Linked DNA regions of Oryctolagus cuniculus. The protein of the gene in region 1 interacts with the protein of each later gene in a pairwise test. Links are inferred from orthologs where the notes say so. Each region holds a gene or a part of one and is shown in the gene's direction. Other genes may lie near its edges.

What was found.
Region 2: the proteins of STK16 (region 1) and PLSCR3 interact in binary tests that used the Homo sapiens proteins (3 or more experiments, as listed by UniProt). The two-hybrid records come from large-scale screens. The link is inferred for Oryctolagus cuniculus from reciprocal best matches to the Homo sapiens genes STK16 and PLSCR3.
Region 3: the proteins of STK16 (region 1) and KCTD14 interact in binary tests that used the Homo sapiens proteins (3 or more experiments, as listed by UniProt). The link is inferred for Oryctolagus cuniculus from reciprocal best matches to the Homo sapiens genes STK16 and KCTD14.
Region 4: the proteins of STK16 (region 1) and MIIP interact in binary tests that used the Homo sapiens proteins (3 or more experiments, as listed by UniProt). The two-hybrid records come from large-scale screens. The link is inferred for Oryctolagus cuniculus from reciprocal best matches to the Homo sapiens genes STK16 and MIIP.
Region 5: the proteins of STK16 (region 1) and ADAMTSL4 interact in binary tests that used the Homo sapiens proteins (3 or more experiments, as listed by UniProt). The two-hybrid records come from large-scale screens. The link is inferred for Oryctolagus cuniculus from reciprocal best matches to the Homo sapiens genes STK16 and ADAMTSL4.

The regions. Positions count from the first base shown.
Region 1 is NC_091434.1:20,221,864-20,225,912, reverse strand, and holds the start of STK16 (serine/threonine-protein kinase 16), read left to right. Parts: upstream 1-1,236; 5' UTR 1,237-1,372; exon of another isoform or gene 1,373-1,635; intron 1,636-1,730; 5' UTR 1,731-1,834; coding exon 1,835-1,920; intron 1,921-2,455; coding exon 2,456-2,675; intron 2,676-2,930; coding exon 2,931-3,064; intron 3,065-3,221; coding exon 3,222-3,342; intron 3,343-3,465; coding exon 3,466-3,561; intron 3,562-3,919; coding exon 3,920-4,041; intron 4,042-4,049. UniProt on the Homo sapiens protein: Membrane-associated protein kinase that phosphorylates on serine and threonine residues. In vitro substrates include DRG1, ENO1 and EIF4EBP1. Also autophosphorylates. May be involved in secretory vesicle trafficking or intracellular signaling.
Region 2 is NC_091448.1:51,969,983-51,972,899, reverse strand, and holds the end of PLSCR3 (phospholipid scramblase 3), read left to right. Parts: coding exon 1-1; intron 2-1,381; coding exon 1,382-1,543; intron 1,544-1,723; coding exon 1,724-1,780; 3' UTR 1,781-2,413; downstream 2,414-2,917. UniProt on the Homo sapiens protein: Catalyzes calcium-induced ATP-independent rapid bidirectional and non-specific movement of the phospholipids (lipid scrambling or lipid flip-flop) between the inner and outer membrane of the mitochondria.
Region 3 is NC_091432.1:69,093,924-69,098,126, reverse strand, and holds the start of KCTD14 (BTB/POZ domain-containing protein KCTD14), read left to right. Parts: upstream 1-1,400; 5' UTR 1,401-1,486; coding exon 1,487-1,570; intron 1,571-4,203.
Region 4 is NC_091438.1:156,459,703-156,463,216, reverse strand, and holds the end of MIIP (migration and invasion-inhibitory protein), read left to right. Parts: intron 1-884; coding exon 885-993; intron 994-1,078; coding exon 1,079-1,131; intron 1,132-1,478; coding exon 1,479-1,608; intron 1,609-1,744; coding exon 1,745-1,841; intron 1,842-2,523; coding exon 2,524-2,658; intron 2,659-2,872; coding exon 2,873-2,962; 3' UTR 2,963-3,172; downstream 3,173-3,514.
Region 5 is NC_091438.1:47,449,218-47,452,731, reverse strand, and holds part of ADAMTSL4 (ADAMTS-like protein 4), read left to right. Parts: coding exon 1-268; exon of another isoform or gene 269-468; coding exon 469-1,078; exon of another isoform or gene 1,079-1,308; coding exon 1,309-1,411; exon of another isoform or gene 1,412-1,873; intron 1,874-3,514. UniProt on the Homo sapiens protein: Positive regulation of apoptosis. May facilitate FBN1 microfibril biogenesis.

The DNA.
Region 1 (4,049 bases):
TCCTGGGAGGGAACCTCAGCGAGCAAGGGGGCGGAGACCACCTCAAGCTGCCAGGCGGTTAGCCTGGCTTGGGTCTCCAGCCTGCAGCTCCCTGCCACTCTACTAATGTATAACAGTCCTCTACATCTGGCTACTCAAAGCGCAGCCGCGAACCAGCTCCATCAGCGTCACCAGAGAGCCCGTTAGACACGCGGAATCTCAGGTCCTACCTCAAACCTATAGCATCAGAATTTGTATTTTAGCAAGATTCCCAGGGACACTCACAAGAAGCACTGCGCTACTGAGACTGAGCTCCCTGAAGGTGAGGAGTGCTTTGTCCATCTGGGACCCCCAGCTTCAAGCACAGGGCCTGACACAGAGCAGGTTAAATCTACATGACAGAATGTCAGAACACGCAGGAAAACAGGGTCAGTACCAAGGGAAACCATAGGAAAATCTTCATGGTGATCAGAGCTATGGCAGGGGGAAACCAGGTCACAAGTTGAACCCTTCTCCTGGAGAGCCCATCCTGGCCATCCCATCCTCTCTGGAAGTGTGCGCCCTCTCCAGCTTATCCTTGCCCATTTAGGCAAGAGATGTCAGTGACAACTGCTTGATGCCAAGGCTGAATTTGGGGATTTCCAACCCTCCTGCCCTCATAGTCCCAAGCCTGGGATGTGAGGAGCGGAGTAGTAGTAACTATCATTCCTGTTGCGAGACACTTACTGAGGGTTATGTAACACTGTTACCGTTCCCACTTTACAGATGAACAAACTAAAGGACAGACATGTCAGGTAGACTGCCTGAGCTCCCACAACTAGTTTAGTCTAGCTGGGATTTGAATTAGCCTCGCAGTTCATGCACTAAATATTAGGCACTATTACATGTATTTTTACAGCTACAGAAAACTAGGATCCAACAGGCTAATTGGTCGAGGTCACACAGCAGGTAGGTTACTAAGACCCCCTGTCTAGAAACTGGCAGTGAGGTTCGTGAGCAGGGCTTGGAAGGTCACCGGCCCCTCCCGGGGCCGCCCTCAGGGATGGGCCATAGTTGGGCGCATTCTGGACCCAGCGCACGGGAGGTATGAGGCCTCCTACCTCGGACATTGGGAGATAGAGGTCCTGGGGGCCTCGGGCCGAGCCCGGCTTTGCTCCCCCCTTGGCGCAGACGCCTGCGTCTTGACCCCTACTGAAGGCCAGGTAGGGAACCTTCACCCGGGTCCCGCGACCCGTGCACCTGCAGGCCTAGCCCGCCCCCGGCCTCTCGGTTCCGCGCCCCCACATCGTCGGGATGCCCAGCGGTTGCTAGGATACCGCGGGCCGTTACGCCGGCGCGGACTGATGACGTAGACGCCGCTTCCGGCTTCTGGCTGAGTTCCCTCCCGGGCCAGGTCAGTGGGACGTCCGAGCTGATCGATCCCGGGCTCCGCGCTCTGAGGTTGGGGGTGGGTTCTGCAAGAGGTGGGCCGGAGGCTCGCACCTCCTCGGGAACTACTCTATGCCCGCCCTCCTTTGGGGACCGACGGGCGTGGGAAAGGGCCCGCCCAAAGGTGGACTGGGGTTGGAGGAAGTGGCCTGGGGCTTTAAGGCACCTGACTGCGGCCTTTTTGGAGCTGGCGTTGTCAGGACCCTTTTTCCCTACACGGAGATCCAGGTTCCGAGACCTGAGCCTAAGCTCTCCGCGCTGGTCCTTCAGGGGTCGTGAGGATTGTGCCGGACCCGCGACTCTGCCGTTTGTTTTCCTTCCAGCATGAGCCACTGGGCCCGCGGCGCCTCGCCCGGAAGAGCCCACTCACCCTGGACCAGTCCCCCGGCAGCTGCAGCCCGTCCTTGAGGAGGATGTTTGAGACATTATGGGCCACGCGCTTTGTGTCTGCTCTCGGGGAACGGTCATCATTGACAATAAGCGTTACCTCTTCATCCAGAAACTGGGGGAGGGGTGAGTGTTTGGAAATCACCTAATCCCCAGGGTTATGGTCGTGGAGGACCGGCGTTCTGCACGGGACAGAGGCAGAAGGGTTTTATCCCTAACCTCTGGGTCACCTGATGGCATCTAGGTGCCTGGTAGTCCAGAGAGTGGGTTCTGGAGCCCCGCCTCCTAGAGCCACATCCGCTTGTCCTTGATAAGCCATTGATTTCTTCCTCCACTAAATGGAGATGCTTATCCCGCCTCACTGATGGCGTTGTGAGGAGTAAATGAGGTCATGGGTTTAGACCGCCCCACACAGTGCATGGTTCATAAGCACCTGATACAGGTGCACAGCGCTGTGTTATGCCCACGTCCACCTCCCCGGTCTCCCTGTGCCTGCTTTGGGGGAGCTCAAGGTGTAACAACCTTCAGCCTTCTCTTAGAGCCGCATCTTGGGAGGGTTTTTACTGAATGGGAGAGACACTGCCGTCTCCCAGAAAAGTCCTCTGAATCCAAGCCCTGTGGGAGATGACCGTGGCCCTTCACTGACCCCTTTGGCCCACAGTGGGTTCAGCTATGTGGACCTAGTGGAGGGGTTACATGATGGACACTTCTACGCCCTGAAGCGAATCCTGTGTCATGAGCAGCAGGACCGAGAGGACGCGCAGCGGGAAGCAGACATGCATCGCCTCTTCCATCACCCCAACATCCTGCGCCTCGTCGCTTACTGCCTGAGGGAGCGAGATGCTAAGCACGAGGCCTGGCTGCTGCTGCCCTTCTTTAAGGTCAGAAATGCTCCTGGCGTGGAGAGGGTTGCCACAGAGCCACCCGCCAGGGGCTGTGTGAGCAGTCAAACGAGCCGGCCAGCGGGGGTCCTGGCCGCTTCAGACTTGAGCTTTAGAGGAGCCCATGTGGGAGTGGGGGGTTTGAGGTCTAGGTGATCGGAGGAGGGCAGATGGGCATTGACGTAGGCACACGATCAGGCCCAGAGACCAGAGGCTCCGGCACCGTCTCCAGCTGTGGGGAAACTCTTGTTGCAGAGAGGGACGCTGTGGGCTGAGATAGAAAGGCTCAAGGACAAGGGCAACTTCCTGACTGAGGATGAAATCCTGCGGCTGCTGCTGGGCATCTGCAGAGGCCTGGAGGCCATTCATGCCAAGGGCTATGCCCACAGGTCAGTGGGAGGGCCCTGTGTGCTCAGGGGGCCCAGGAGCAAGAACCTCACCAAGAGAAAGGGGAGGGCTCTGGGCTCTGCTCTTCTCCCTGTGATCAGCCCCCCGCCCCCCCCCCCCCAGGATTCCAGCTTACATGTCCTTTCTATTTCTCTGCAGGGACCTGAAACCCACCAACATCTTGCTTGGCGATGAGGGACAGCCAGTGTTAATGGATTTGGGTTCCATGAATCAAGCATGCATCCATGTGGAGGGCTCCCGCCAGGCCCTGACCCTGCAAGTAAGAGCCTCGGGTTCCTTTGCCCACCTGTTCCGCACCCTGACCCCTTCTGTTACGTGCCCCAGTTCGGTCACTTGACCCTGGCCTGTGCCCTGCTTTTGAGCTCTGAGGCCACCGTTCTAGGACTGGGCAGCCCAGCGGTGCACCATCTCCTACCGGGCCCCGGAGCTCTTCTCCGTGCAGAGTCACTGTGTTATTGACGAGCGGACTGATGTCTGGGTGAGGAGCATGTGGGCGGGAATCTGCGTGGGGAGGGGCGTGGCTCGGAGGTGCTGTCAGGCAGAGAAGTAGGTCTTTGGTTTCTGTTGCAAGGGGCCCCGGGAACCGCAGCTTGTTGCCATCTCTCTCAACTTCCTTCCTGCAAACTGTCACTGATACTGAAGGAAGTGGTCTCCCTCCCATGAAGTGAGGGCTGCAGAGGTGCCCAGCTCTCTGGGGGTTTCTCTGGGCCCTGGGAGCTCTGTGTGGCTCAGGTTGGCCTATTCTGTTTGGCTTGTGTGGTCTCCTTTCCCCTCAAAAGAAAGGGAAAAGATGCCATCCCCTTTGATCTTTCAGGGACTAACCAAGTTACGTTCAGTCCCTAGGCTGTGTGCTCTATGCCATGATGTTTGGGGAAGGCCCTTATGACATGGTGTTCCAGAAGGGTGACAGCGTGGCCCTGGCTGTGCAGAACCAACTCAGCATCCCGCAGAGCCCCAGGTGAACAA
Region 2 (2,917 bases), on another chromosome or scaffold:
GGTATCAGCCGTAAGGGGAGCTGGGACCTGCACAGACCAAGGTGGCAGCTTCCAGGAGGCAGGATGGGTTTAGTAAGCTCAAGACCCTGACCTGCCACACTTCCATTTGGAAATGGAATGTCCCGTGGTGTTAGGAGAGCATAGTGTGGGTGCTGATGGCTACTGACAGCCCTGCATTAGGGGTGGGAGTGGAACTCTAAAGCCAGACCGGGTGGGGGGGGCAGGGGATGTTGGCCATGGGCTGGGCTTGAGTTTGTGAGCCTAACACCTGAAGCATGCCTGCATTTAACATGCTGACTTGCCCTGCCGATCCGGAAGTCCAAACGCTCCCTGCAGCCTGGAGCCCACGCGATGCCCTTAGCCCCAGTTTTGAGAGCCTACGTGGTGAGGGTCTCAGAGTCAGGCCTGGGAAGCGCCTTGGTTTCTGGAAGGCAGAGGCACTGCAGAAACTCCCCAGGCCTAAGTCCCTGTGCAGATAAAGCAGACAACGGGCGTGATCCAGCAGACTTGCCAGCGCGTCTGGTGAGGCGCTTCACCTAGGGTTGCTCTTTAAAATGAGTCATGTTAATAGCCAGAGGGAGGCTCCATGATGGGAACCAGCTGGGAGAGCGAGCACTGGGTGTTCTCTGGATGGGAATGGGCAGATTGTGGGGTTCTCACAAGCCTAGTGTCTCTTTTACATAATTATGAATGGGCTGCCTGCTCTGGACTGCAGCGCCGGCTGGGACGGGGCTGCAGGAAGGGTCCCAGAGCTGTAGGAAAGTGGGGCCGGGGGGTAGCAGACACACAGGGAAGTCGCTCTGGTTCTAGTTACTGGATAATGGGCACAGGAAAAGGACCAGGAAGTCGCCGTGAGTCACCATCTATTGTAGCAGGGCCTGGCTCCCCTCTACATGAGGCTTGCGGTCAGTGCTGGGCAGGGCCCACCTTAGGGAAAAAGTAGCCGTCCGGGCAGATGCAGGCTTCCAGGGCCCACGTGGCTGGTAAACGAGGCAGCATTTCGGCAGCCTCCTCTGTCTTCCCCGCCAGGCTACTGCGTGTGGGGCGCCAACTGCACCACCCGGAGGGAGGCAGCAGAGACACTGACAACCAAAGCAGACAGCAACCAGCCTCACGCTAAGGGGATGAGACTGTGTCACCTCCCATTTCTCGCACCGCACATGTTGTCATGCAGGGTCCTTAGAAGGAAGGGACTGGGTCTGAATCCAGACTCACAGTGAGACCCAGGGTGCCCGGTCTCCCCAGCTGTCCCACAGACGGTTGAGGGGATTCACTGAGTGTAGAGCTCCCATGATTCATCCGTGTTGGCCAGGATGGGTGTCCGCAGGCCACTGGGATGGGGTGCATGCTCCCAGTAGGGTCCTCCCCTCTCCCCCAACAGGTGAAGACCAAGGACGAGTCCCGCAGCGTGGGCCGCATCAGCAAGCAGTGGGGGGGGCTGCTCCGAGAGGCGCTCACGGACGCAGACGACTTCGGTCTGCAGTTCCCACTGGATCTGGACGTGAAGCTAAAGGCTGTGCTGCTGGGAGCCACGTTTCTCATCGTGAGTTGGCTGCCCCTGCCCCTGCCCCTCTCCTCCTGCCAGTCCTTTGCCATCCCTTATTGAATCTCTGTGCACCCGCTGGCTTCTCACTAGGGGTGGGTTAGGGACGGATGTCATGTATAGGGGAGGGGGTGGTTCCAGACCTGGCCCAGCCCCCCGTTCATGGCGGCTTCCCTGCAGGACTACATGTTCTTCGAGAAGCGAGGAGGCGCGGGGCCCTCTGCCATCACCAGCTAGAGGCTACCCTAGGGTGAGGGAAGTACCACCTCCACCAGAACTGAAGCCGGTTGCGGGCCCAGCCCCGCCCTCCCGAGCAGCAGCCCCCTTTCTTCCAAGTATACTGCAGGGGACGGAGAGGCTGGGGTCACGGTGCCCCACCCCGCCCCTGCTCCCCGGCCTCCTCCGCCTGGGGCCCCCACAGCAGGGTATGTATGAGAACCCGTCCCTGCCACCCCCGCCCCAGTCTCCCAGCAGCCCCTCAGCACACAGGCTTACTGGCTTTCAAACTTCCCACCCGCTCCAAGCCCTCCGAAGGCCTTTGGCACCTGAGACTCTGGGGTTTTACGACAGGGCATGGCCGAGTAAGGGCAAGCAGCAGCAGACAGCCGAAGCGGCCACCCCTCTCCTTCGTCAGCTTTGCCAATTAGCTCAGCCTCGGACCCTGGCACTTGGAGGGGATCTCCACCTCCCCCGCCAGCAGGTGTCAGGGCTGGGCCCCAGCGCCAACTTCCTTTCCCCCTTGGGCCCTGCCCAGAGCGGTGCTTCCTGCAGCTTCCTGTGCCTTATTTAACCACCCCTTCCTTGCCTTGCCCTAGGAAGGAGGCTGCATCTTTGTATGTTATATTCATAAACACTTTGTAACTTTTTGGACATTGGAAGATGTATGTGATGGGGGAGGGGCGAAGAGTCGATGGGAGGTAGAGCAGAGGGAACTACTGGGCTGGGGCAGGGGCTGGCCCCTCTCGTGGTCCCTGCTGCCAGGATCGAATGCCCTTGCGTCCAAGAGAGCAGTTCCCATCACCCACGATGGCGCTGGACCAAACCTGGGCAACTGGGGCCCCAAGTCCCGACGGCTGCTTCCACCTCCCAGGTGGCCGCCCCCAGAGTCAGTGAGGTAGCTCAGGGCGGCTCCGGACAGCCACTTGGTCGTTCTCTGAAGGGGAACGGTCTCCCCTGGGTCTGATGTGCAGTTCTTTTCCTTCAAGTCCTCCTCCTCTCTGGGAATGTGGCGAGCAGAGCACACTTCCTTGGCCCCGCCAAGGGACCCTGAGCCTTCAGAGGCCATGGGCAGGGTAGGGAAGAGACACCCTCTCCGTGCCCAACCCTGGGCTCCCTTGGGCACCTCCTGCACCTGCTTTCCGCAGGTGGGGAACT
Region 3 (4,203 bases), on another chromosome or scaffold:
TTTATAACAGTTGATGTTGACCTTGATCACCTAGCAGAAGTAGTATTTGTCAGTTCCTCCACTACAATACTACCTCCCCCTGCCCTTTGCTTCCCCTATTGTAGTCTTAGAAGGAAGTCACTGGTCACAGCCCACATTTAAGGAGTGGGGTGTTATGCTCTTGCTGTTTATGGGATATATATATATATGTGTGTGTGTATATATATATATTTGTTTATTTAAGAGGCAGAGAGAGAGAGCGCGCGTGCTCACATCTGTTGGTTCACTCCTCAAATGGGTGCAATGACCAGGGCTGGGCCGGGGTGGAGGGAAAGCCAGAACACAAGCTAGGTTTCCCATGTGGGCAGCAGGCACCTGCTTACTTGAGTCATCAGCACTGCCTCCCAGGGTCTACACTGGCAGTTAGCTGGAGTCAGGAGCTGGAGCCCAGAATTGAACCCAGATGCTCCACTGTGGGAGGCTGATCTCTTAACCACTAAGCTAAATGCTGACTCCCTGACTTACTGTACTTTCTTTTTTACAAAGAGAGGTTTTTTTAAAAAAAATTATTGAGAGGCAGAGAATAATAGAGAGACTGAGAACTCAGACCGGCTAGTTCACTCCCCTATCAGAAGTCAATCCAGGTCCCCCAATTGGGTGGTGGGAACCCAACCACTTGAGCCACCCCCGCCGCCCCTAGGGTCTGCACCAGAAGGAAGCTGGAATCAGGCAAACATGGAATCCAGGACCTGTGGTTTGGGATGCAGGCTTCTCAAATTGCTTCTTTACAGCTAGGTCAAAAGCCCGCCTCCCTGAGGTGGTTATTTTAACAAGGAAAATAGCGCACAAAAGGGGTATCTAGATTTTTTTTTTTTTTTTTTGACAGGCAGAGTGCACAGTGAGAGAGACAGAAAGGTCTTCATTTTCTGTTGGTTCACCGCACTGATCCGAAGCCAGGAGCCAGGTGCTTCTCCTGGTCTCCCATGGGGTGCAGGGCCCAAGTACTTGGGCCATCCCCCACTGCACTCCCTGGCCACAGCAGAGAGCTGGCCTGGAAGAGGGGCAACCGGGACAGAATCCGGCGCCCCGACCGGGACTAGAACCCTGAGTGCCGGCGCCACAGGCGGAGGATTAGCCTACTGAGCCCTGGCGCGGGGTACCTAGCTCTTTGCGTCACTGGTCGTACTTGGCATTCCTAGCAGGTGGCCTGTGGTGGCTTAATAGCCCACACCGGCCACCCTACTTCCTGGAACTTCACTTTCCTAGCTCTAGGAGGGGTGTTGTTGATTCCCCTTCCCCTCCCTAGTTCAGTCTTGATGGTACCCCTGGGACCGCACGGGAGCCCGAGGCTCAGAAAAGGGCAAGGTCGGCTCAGCATCTCACCTGGCCGGGCAACCCCTCCTGCGCTTAGCTTCCCCACCCCGGGGCGGGGCCAGGGGCACTTCCGCTGGCCAGCGTTAGCCGCACGTGGTAGGCTGAGCGGCGCCGGGCTAGCTGCGGGTCGGAGATGACCAGCCTGCGCTCTGCGCCCGGGTCTCCGGCGTCCACGTCCCGGGCGCCGGCGCCCCCGCCCGTGACCGACAGGCAGAACGTGAGTGCGCGGGAGGGCGGGGGCCGCGCGTGTCCCGCGCCGCCGCGTCTTGCTCTGCTGCGCTCCGGGGTCTTCCGCTGGCCCCTGTCTCCCCGGGGCTGCCTTTCGCTTTGGGCGCGCTGCGTTCCCTCTCCTCTGGCAGGGCTCTGTCTTTTCTCCTTGGCCATCTCTGCCCCAGCTCTGGCCGCTGTGCTTTTGCGCCTCTGTGCCGGATCCTGCTCCGGGTGTGCGTGGCCTCTCCTCTTGGCACTTTTTCTTGCTTGGCCGCCTTTATTCATCGTTCTCGTCACACTGTCTTTATTTTAGTGCCTCTCTGGCGCTCCGCCGTGTGCCCTCAGGCTTCGTGAAGTCCATGGGTTTTCTTTGAACCTAACTCTTCCTGCCGGCCCTGGCCACCCCCGCGCCCCAAACCCCTCCATCTTCAGGCTGGCCCTGCCCTTGGGTTGGATCCTGAGGCTTCCTGCTCACCTCCTCCCTGGGCTTGGGCGAGGGGGGAGGGTCGACAAAGGCTGCGTTTGCTGTAGGAGCAGAAAATTCTGATTCTCTTTTGGCTACATCTTTGCTTTTTTAATTTTTAAAAGATTTATTTGTTTATTTGAGAGGCAGAGTTACAATCAGAGAAGTCTTTCATCCACTTGTTCACTCCACAGATAGCCCCAACGTCAGGAGTTGGGACAGTTGGAAGCCAGGAGCTTCTTCCGGCTCTCCCACAAGGGTGCAGGGCTGCAAGCACTTGGGCCATCTTCCACTGCTTTCCCAGGTGCATTAGTTGGCATCCATATGGGATGCCTACGTCATAGGCGGAGGCTTAATCTACCAGGCCACAGCGCAGACTCCTGGTTCCGCCATCTTGAAGACTTGGAAGGAAAAGCAGACCCAGGAACGTATGGCTCTTTCCACTAGGACAACAGTAATGGCATTTTCCTTGGCGAGTGACAGAGCCATCTTCTTTTAAAATATGTATTTATTTGAAAGGCAGAGTTGAGAGAGATCTTCCATTTGCTAGTTCACTCCCTAAATGGCCACAACCAGCAGGTCAGATCCAGGAACCTGGAACTCCCACGTAGGTGCTGGGGCCCAGTTGCTCTCCCAGGTGCACTAGCAAGGAGCTGGATCAAAAGATTCCGGTGCCTGGAAGCAGCAGGGACTCACATGAGCTCTGATAAGATAGAGGATACTGGCATAGCAAGCAGAATCTTAACCCGCTATGCCCAATGGTGGCCTGACAGGGCCACCTGCTGAATGCTTAGATAGGTGCTCAGTAAGTGCCTGAATGAATTACCAGGCAAAGGTAATGCCGGGACCCAGTGCTCAGTGCCAGGTAGGGCAATGTCGCCCTTTATCAGAGGACCGTGTGCTCCATTCAAGTCGGCAGTGTGCTGCTCAGCTCTGTAGTAGGTAAGAGTGACATAAGGTAGAGCCAAGAACAGTCCCTCCCTTGAGGAAACAACAGTCTAATTTGCAAGGGGACCCAGCCTGCTTTGATGAGGGGGGTGGAGGGAGCAGCAGGTGGTTGAATTGCAGAGTTTAGGGTTTATTTGGAAGGGAATGAGGAGTTTTCTGGGCATTTAATGCAGGGAGTGATGGGATCAGATTCAGAAAAGGTACTGTGGTTTCAGAATGGAGAGCAGGTAAAGCTGCTGCCTGCAGTGTTGGCCTCCCCTATGGGCTCCGAGTCCAGTTCCGGCTGCTCCACTTCTGACCCATCTCTCTGCTATGGCCTGGGAAAGCAGTAGAAGATGGCCCAAGTCCTTGGGCCCCTGCACCCTCATGGGAGAGCTGGAAGAAGCTCCTGGCTCCTGGCTTCAGATAGATCAGCGCAGCTTTGGCCATTGCAGCTCTCTGGGGAGTGAATCAGCAGATGGAAGACTAATCTCTCTCTTTGGCTCTGCCTTTCTGTAACTCTTTCAAATAAATAAATAAATCCTAAAAAAGAGAGAGGGGGGGGAGAGAGAGAGAGAGAGAGAGAGAGAGAGAGAGACTTATTTGAAAGGCAAAGTTGCAGAGCAGGAGATCTTTCATCTGTTGATTCACTCCCCAAATAGCTGCAATGGCCAAGGCTCGGCCAGGCCGAAGCCAGGAGCTTCTTCCAGGTCTTCCACATGGGTGCAGGGCCCAAGCACTTGGGCTATCTTTTGCTGCTTTTCCAGGCCATTATCAGAGAGCTGTGTCAGAAGTGGAGCAGCTGAGTCTCCAACCAGCACCCATATGGGATGCTTAACCTACTATGCCACTACACTGGCCATGACTTACTTTCTTTCTTTTTTTAAATTTGTTTATTTATTTGAAAGAGTTACACAAAGGAGAGGCAGAAAAAGAGAGGTCTTCCTGGTGCACTCCCCAATTGGCCGCAACAGCCAGAGCTACGCCGATCCAAAGCCAGGAGCCAGGAGCTTCTTCCAGGTCTCCCACGAGGGTTTCAGGGCCCAAGGACTTGGGCCATCTTCTACTGCTTTCCCAGGCCACAGCAGAGAGCTGGATCAGAAGAGGAGCAGCCGGGACTTGAACCGGCGGCCATATGGGATGCCGGCACGGCAGGTGACAGCTTTACCCTCTGTGCCACAGCGCTGGCCCCTCTTTTTTTTTTTTTTTTTTTTAAAGAATTTATTTATTTATTTGAAAGGTAGAGTTAC
Region 4 (3,514 bases), on another chromosome or scaffold:
CTACTAAAAAAATAAAATGTAAATAAAATGTAAGCCTCCCAGGGCCCATGTGGCGCAGCAGGTAAAGCTTCCTCCTTCGACACTGGGGTCCTACATGGGCACCAGTTCATGTCTCCACTAATGTGCCTGGGAAAGCAGTGGAAGACGTCACAGGTGTTTGGGCCCTGCCATCTCTGAGGGAAACCCAGAAGGAGCTCCTGGCTCTGGCCTGGCTCAGCCCTGGCCGTAGCAGCTATCTGAGGAGTGAACCAGCAGACGGAAGATCTCTTTATATCTGTAACTTTGACTTTCAGATGAATAAATCGGGGCCAGTGCTGTGGGTTAGCAGGTAAAGCCCCAGCCTGCAGTGCCGGCATCCAACGTGAGCGCCAGTTCAAATCCTGGCTTCTCCACTTCCAATCCAGCGCCTTGCTAATGTGCCTGGGAAAGCAGTGGAGGGTGGCCCAAGTGTTTGGGCCCCTGCACCCACGTGGGAGGCCTGGAGAAAGTTTCTGGCTCCTGGCTTCTGCCTGGCCGTTATGGCTGTTTAGGGAGCGAACTGTGGATGGAAGTCTGTCCCTCCCTCTCTCTGTTAACTCTGCCTTTCAAATAAATAAATAAATAAATATTTAAAAAACAAAGGAGGAAACCTTAAAAAAAAGGCCGTGAGCCTGCAAGGGCGAGGGCTCTGTCGCCCTGCCTCACCGCCATTTCCCAGAGTGTGAGACGTTCTAGCCGTGGCGAGGGAGTGGACGGGCTGAGGTAGAGCCCGTGGCCACAGCGGATGGAGGGGCCCGTCCTGGCCAGGAGGGGGCAGAGCGGGGTTGAGGCAGGTGCGCCGTGGCAGGACCTCCCCAGGCCTTGGCCAGGGCTACCCGGCAGCTCCGCTGCTTTGGCCTCGCCAGGGTCCCTGGACAGCAGCTCTCCCGTCACCAGCAAGCCCGAGGCCTTCTTTGCAACACTGCAGAAGTTCCGAGAAGCCAACAAGAAGGAGTGCACGGCCAGCCACTCTGAGTGAGCAGGGCCGGGCGGGGGCGGCTGGGGCGGCTGGGGGCTCCCGCCCTCCCACCTGCCCCACTCGCCCCCCTCATCCTCACAGGCCCGGGTTCCTGGGTTTGCACGAGAACGATGGCGTGGACGGGGACCACGAATGTGAGTGTGAGCCCTGCGCCGGGCTGCCGAGGAGCCCAGCCTCGCTCTGCCCTGGCCTGAGCCCCCGCCCTCACGTCCCAAAGCAGCCTCAGTAGAGGTCTTGCGGCCCCAGGGAGCCTTGGGGACGGTGACCTGCTGACCCACCCCACCCCTCCCCAGCAGCCTTCAGCGCTGGCTGGGCCCCCGTTCCAGCTCCTGAGAGCCCCTGGGAGGACAGCATACCTGCACCCCTTGGGACACGGGCCCAAGACCAGAGCCACTGTAGGACTTGTTCCCCAGAGGGGCAGCCCCATGGGCGGGAGTAGCCGGGGCTGGGGCCACCGAGGCAGCGTCTGCTGGGCCCGCAGGTGTGTACTGTTACCGCGTCAACCGCCGCCTCTTCCTGGTGCCTTCGGATCCGGGCACCCCCTGCCGCCTGTGCGGGACCCTGCGGGAGCAGCAGGGCCCTGAGACCCTGCTGGAGCCGGCACAGGTCAGGTGAGTGGCAGAGCTGTGGGACATCTCGGGGCAGCCATGAGGGGCCTCAGCCTGGGGGGCTGCTGGCTTTGAGGGGGGAGGATGGGCCTGGGGCTGGGGGAGGTGCCTCAGCAGAGGCCACTGCTGCCCCGCACAGGGTGAGCGTCCCGCTGTCCATCCTGGACCCCCCGCACTGGTATCGCATCCGCAGGCGCAAGAGCTTCGATGCCTCGGACACACTGTCCCTGCCTCGGGTGAGCAGCCGCGGGGCGTGGGGTGGGTGGGAGCGAGATTGTCCCTGGCCCAGCTCAGGTTCTCAGGGATGGCCACAGAGTGAGGCTGGGCTTGGGGAGGGCCGATTCCCCAGGCTGCACCTGCTCCCCGAGGGAGCCCTGGTGTGCCGCGGTGGAGCACTGTGTACCCCCGGGCACAGTCCTCAGGGGCTCAGGGCACTGGTGGCTCCTGCCCTAGGATGAGGTCGAGGGCCAGATACCTTGGCGGAAGAGCCGGGGTTTGAACTCAGTTCTTAACGTTTCCACAGTGCTTCCCCTGGATGTTGTCCTGGACCACCCACCCACCTCTGTTGAGGCTGGGGGAGGGGAAGGGGTACAGAGAAAAGTCAGTTTGTCTGTTAAATGGGTGTAGCAGTACATGCTTGGGGGTGCTGGGCTGAGTGGGCAGTTCAGTAAAGTGATCACTGTTGGGTGCCATCGGTGTCTGTGTCCAGCCCCCAGGGCCCCAGGGTGGCAGGATCAGCAGGGATGAGAAAGACCAGGCCCTGGGTCATCCGGGGTACACAGGTCCCTGTCCTGGGGGCAACCCCCACTGCTCAGGGCTTCCCTCTACCCTGGTGGGGGCACAGTCCCTCCCCCGGAGCTGTGCCCGGCCAGTGGGAGCCCTGCCTCAGGCCGGCTCTCTAACCCCTGCCCTCCACAGCACTGCCTGTTGGGCTGGGACATCCTCCCTCCCAGGTCAGAGAAGGGCTCGGCCCCCAAGAGTCTGGACCTGTGGTCGTCGGTGTTCGCCACGGCCCAGCACCGGAAGCTGTCGGCTGCCAGCCCTTCCCGCCTGGTATGGCCCGGGTTGTGTCCCAGCCTGGGGTGCCCCTGGGAGGGACGTAGCGTGGAGCAGGCCCGAGGACCGTAGGGTCCCCTGGGGGACCGGATTGGGCAGGCAGTGCAGGGGTCTGTCCCCTGGGTCTCTACCTTCCCCACCGCCCGCCCTGCTCCCCCCAGGAAGGTGGCTGGAACTGATGTGGCTCCTCTGCTATCTTCCAATTCACCAGGCGTTGCCAGTGCGGGGTCCAGCCCCCACCCCAATCTGGTCACATCCCCGGCGCCCCCAGCCCCACGCCGCTCGGCAGCAGCAGCCCTGAGGACCACGGCGTGGAGCTTCTGCTGCTACTTCGGGCCCCTCTGCTCCAGCAGGGGCTGCCCACGCACGGAAGCCTCTGCCGGGCTCCGCTCGGGTGGGCGCGAGCCTGTCCCCCTCCTGGGATCCGGAGAGGCCCGGCCCTGGGCAGGGAGGCGGGGGTTCTGTGACTCTGTAAATAAAGCGTGCTGCCTGGGACAGCTCGATCCCTGTATGTGCTGGTCTGCCCTGCCTCTGAGGCGCCTCACCCTCAGCCTGCCCGCCTCCCCCCTGTGTGCCGAGAAACTGACCAGAGCCTGGGCACTGAGTCTGCTTCCTGCCGCCCTGTCACGGGCTGTGGCGGCCCCGGTGTGGACGCCGCGACTCAGTGTCGGGTGAATCACAGGGTTGTGCGTTCATGCTGACCACAGGGAGGTCGGGGCGGGGGAGGCTGCCTGCAGGCCAGGGGGTCCTGGAGGTTTGCACACAGCTGAGACTGACGATGGCCCTCGGGATGAAGCCAGGAACCCGAGAACGCCCCCTAACGGGGTCTCCCTGAACCACACTGGTGAGAACG
Region 5 (3,514 bases), on another chromosome or scaffold:
ACCAGTGGTCCTCTTGCTCCCAGCCCTGTGGGGTGGGGGTACAGCGCCGGAGCCGGATATGCCAGCCCCGCCAGGACCTGCCTCCCCCTCCCCGGCCCCCAAGGCATCCAGAAGCCCAACTCCCCCGCGGTCAGGGCTCCAGACCCCACACCTTGGGAGAAACCCACCCCCTGTACAGGCCACAGCCACGGGGAAGGGGGGGCCCGCTTCGAGGTCCTGCTTCCCTGCCGGGCAGGGAGGACACACAGGAGGTGGCAGGAGCCCGCAGGTGAGGCTCTGCGGGAAGGGGCGGGCCTTGGGTGAGGGGCTGGGCTTGATGTGGAGGGAAGGGGAGCAAAGGACACGCGGCTTCCAGAGGCTTCTCTCGGGTGCCAGGAAGTGGAATGGGGAGACAGGCTCCGGGACAGCTGGAGCGTGCCCCGCGTGTCTGACTCATGTGTGTGACTCATGTCTGCCACACCTTCTCAGGTCCCGGGTCCGAGAGCCCATCAAGCCTGGGATGTTCGGCTATGGGAGAGTGCCCTTTGCCTTGCCGCTGCATCGCCACCGCAGGCACCCCCGGCGGCCGCCCCTGACTCCCGGGGCCGAGCTGCCCTCTGCACTGCCCCCCACAGAACTGCCTGCCCACACCTCATCCCTCCCGGCACACCCCACAGGGTCAGGGACTGTTCAGACCGAGGCTGCCCTGCCCCGAGCCAGGGCTGCCTCCTCGCAGCCGTCCCGTGGAGCCCAGGCCCCCCGCACTGAGCCCCTCTCGCCCACCCTCTCCGGGGAGAGTCGCCCCTTCCACCTGTCCCCTCAGCCAAGAATACCGAGCTCCCAGGGCTGGGCCCGCCCCCGGGAGCCAGGGAGACCCCCTGACCCTTTCCCCTCGGTCCCTCGGGGCTGGGGCCAGCAGAGCTGGGGGCCCTGGAGGCCTGGGGGGAGCCTCCGGGGGTCCCCCGCGGAGCCGAATGGCTGGCTGCCTCTGCTGAGCGACGGACCCCCCTCCAGTTCTCTCTGGAGCCTCTTTGCCCCCAGCAGCCCTGTCCCGCGATGTTCTGGGGAGACCGAGCAGCTGAGAGCCTGCAGCCAAGTGGTGAGTTCCTCACTGGACCTCACTGCCCAACTCAGCTTCCACTCTGTCCCCTTGATCTGGGGCGGGGCACTCAGCTTGTCTGACCCAGCAGGGCGGAGAAAGGCCCCGGCCTCTGACCTCCTTGGGGAAGGGGCCTTGGAAGTCTTCTGTGGACCCCTCCCCCCAGGCCCAGCCTTGGCCCTGAGCCCCATTTGCCTCCCTGACCCTGACTCCTTTGTCCCTCCCCGCAGCCCTGCCCGCCCGAGCAGCCAGACCCCAGGGCACTGCAGTGTGCTGCCTTCGACTCCCAGGAGTTCATGGGCCAGCTCTACCAGTGGGAGCCCTTCACCCAAGGTGAGTGCTCCGGCCCCTCCCCTGGGCAGGGGTCATGGGGTCAGCAAACACCAGTCACTCCCACCCTGGAAGATTTCCCGCCCTTCTCCTTCTCTGCGTCACCCAGGACAGAGGGGACTTGGCCCAGGCCTTGAGCTGCCAGATGGTGCTGACTGGTCTGCAGGGGGCTCGGGGAGGGAGGGAGAGCTGTCCAGAGGTGCCCTTTACATCCCAGGAACGGGGTGGCTATGACCCAAGAGATCCTGCCACCCGGCAGCAGGCTGGGCTGTGCTTACCGTGTCCTGCTCCCAGGGTACCGTCCACTTGGTTTAGGCCTGTGTCACCTTGACACCCAGATGAGACCTCCTGAGTTCAGTGCACACAATCACAGGTGTGGAAGCTCTCTCCTTGGTGGCCTCAGTGACCCCAAGTGACCTGAGCAGCTTATGTCCAGTGACCCAGCAGCCTCAGGGTGTCCCAGAGCTGGCATGAGGGAGATTTCAGAGTTAGTGCGAAAATGTCATTAAAAGATGTTTATTTTGGTACAAAATGATTTTGAAATTCATGCATAGTTTTTTTTTCTAACACATATTTCCTATGAGCTTTTTTCTTTTTTTTTTTTTTAAGATTTATTTATTTATTTGAAAGAGTTACAGACAGACAGAAAAAGAGAAATCTTCCATCCGCTGGTTCTCTCCCTAAATGTCCACAATTGCTGGAGCTGCGCTGATCCAAAGCCAGGAGCCAGGAGCCTCCTCCTGGTCTCCCATGCAGTGCAGGGGCCCAGGCACTTGGATCATCCTCTGCTGCTTTCAGGGAGAGGATCAGAAGTGGAGACGCTGGAACTGGAGCCGGCGCCCGTACGGGATGCCCGCGATACCCACTGTGCTGCAGCGCCGGCCCCTCCTGCTCTCTTTGTAGCGTGTCTCTTCCTTATCTACTAGAGAGGCACAGGGTATGGTGTTTGCAGAGGGAGACAGATACTCTTTTTTAAAAATAAACATATCTCTTTTTAAAAAATATTTTATTTATTTATTGATAGAGTTACAGATAGTGAGAGAGAGAGAAAGGTCTTCCGACTGTTGATTCACTCCCCAAATGGCTGCAATGGTTGGAGCTGTGCCGATCTGAAGCCAGGAGCTTCCTCCTGGTCTCCCACATGGGTGCAGGGGCCCAAGGACTCTCTCTCTCTCTCTCTTTTTTTAAAGATACATTTATTTGAAAGATAGAGTTATACAGAGGCAGAGGCAGAGAGATATTTTCTGTCCACTGGTTCTCTCCCCAAATGGCTGCAATTGCTGGAGCTGGACCGATCCATAGCCAGGAGCTTCTTCCAGGTCTCCCGTGTGGGTGCAGGGGCCCAAGGACTTAGGCTGTCTTCTGCTGTTTTCCCAGGCACATTAGCAGAGAGCTGGATTGGAAGTAGAGCAGCCAGGACTTGAACCGGTGACTGTAGGAGATGCTGGCGCTGCAGGCGGCAGCTTTATCCACTACACTGTAACACTGGCCCCAATGGGCATAGGTTCTTGTGATGTAAGAGTGTAGTAACCAGGGCCAGCACTGTGGCACAGCCGGTTAATGCCCTGGCCTGCAGCACCAGCATCCCATATGGGTGCCAGTTCCACGCCTGGCTGCTCCAGTTCTCATCCAGTTCCCTGCTAATGCACCTGGGAAAGCAGTGGAAGATGGCCCAAGTGCTTGGGCCCCTGCACCCACATGGGAGATCCAGGTGAAGCTCCTGACTCCTGGCTTCAGCCTGCCTGGCCCAGCCCTGGCCCTGGCGGCCTTTTGAGGAGTGAACCAGCAGATGGAAAACCTCTTTCTCTGTCCCTACGTCTCTAACTCTCTCCTTCAACTAAATACAATAATTTTTTTTTGTTTTAATGTATAGCCACCAAACTATACGGGATGGCCACATGGCAGGTGGTGGCTTAACCCGCTGTGCCACAGCGCTCCCTCCCAGGAGCTTTTTGAAGATCCTTCCTATGCATGGATTTCAACATTTTCTGCACCCCAGTAAACACCTTTCAACTCCACTTTGCCACAAACGTTTTCAGGGGCCTCCTGAGCAAAGCTTCTGCGGGGGCCCTGGGCCCTTTCCATCCGCTTCCCCTCCCGCCCACC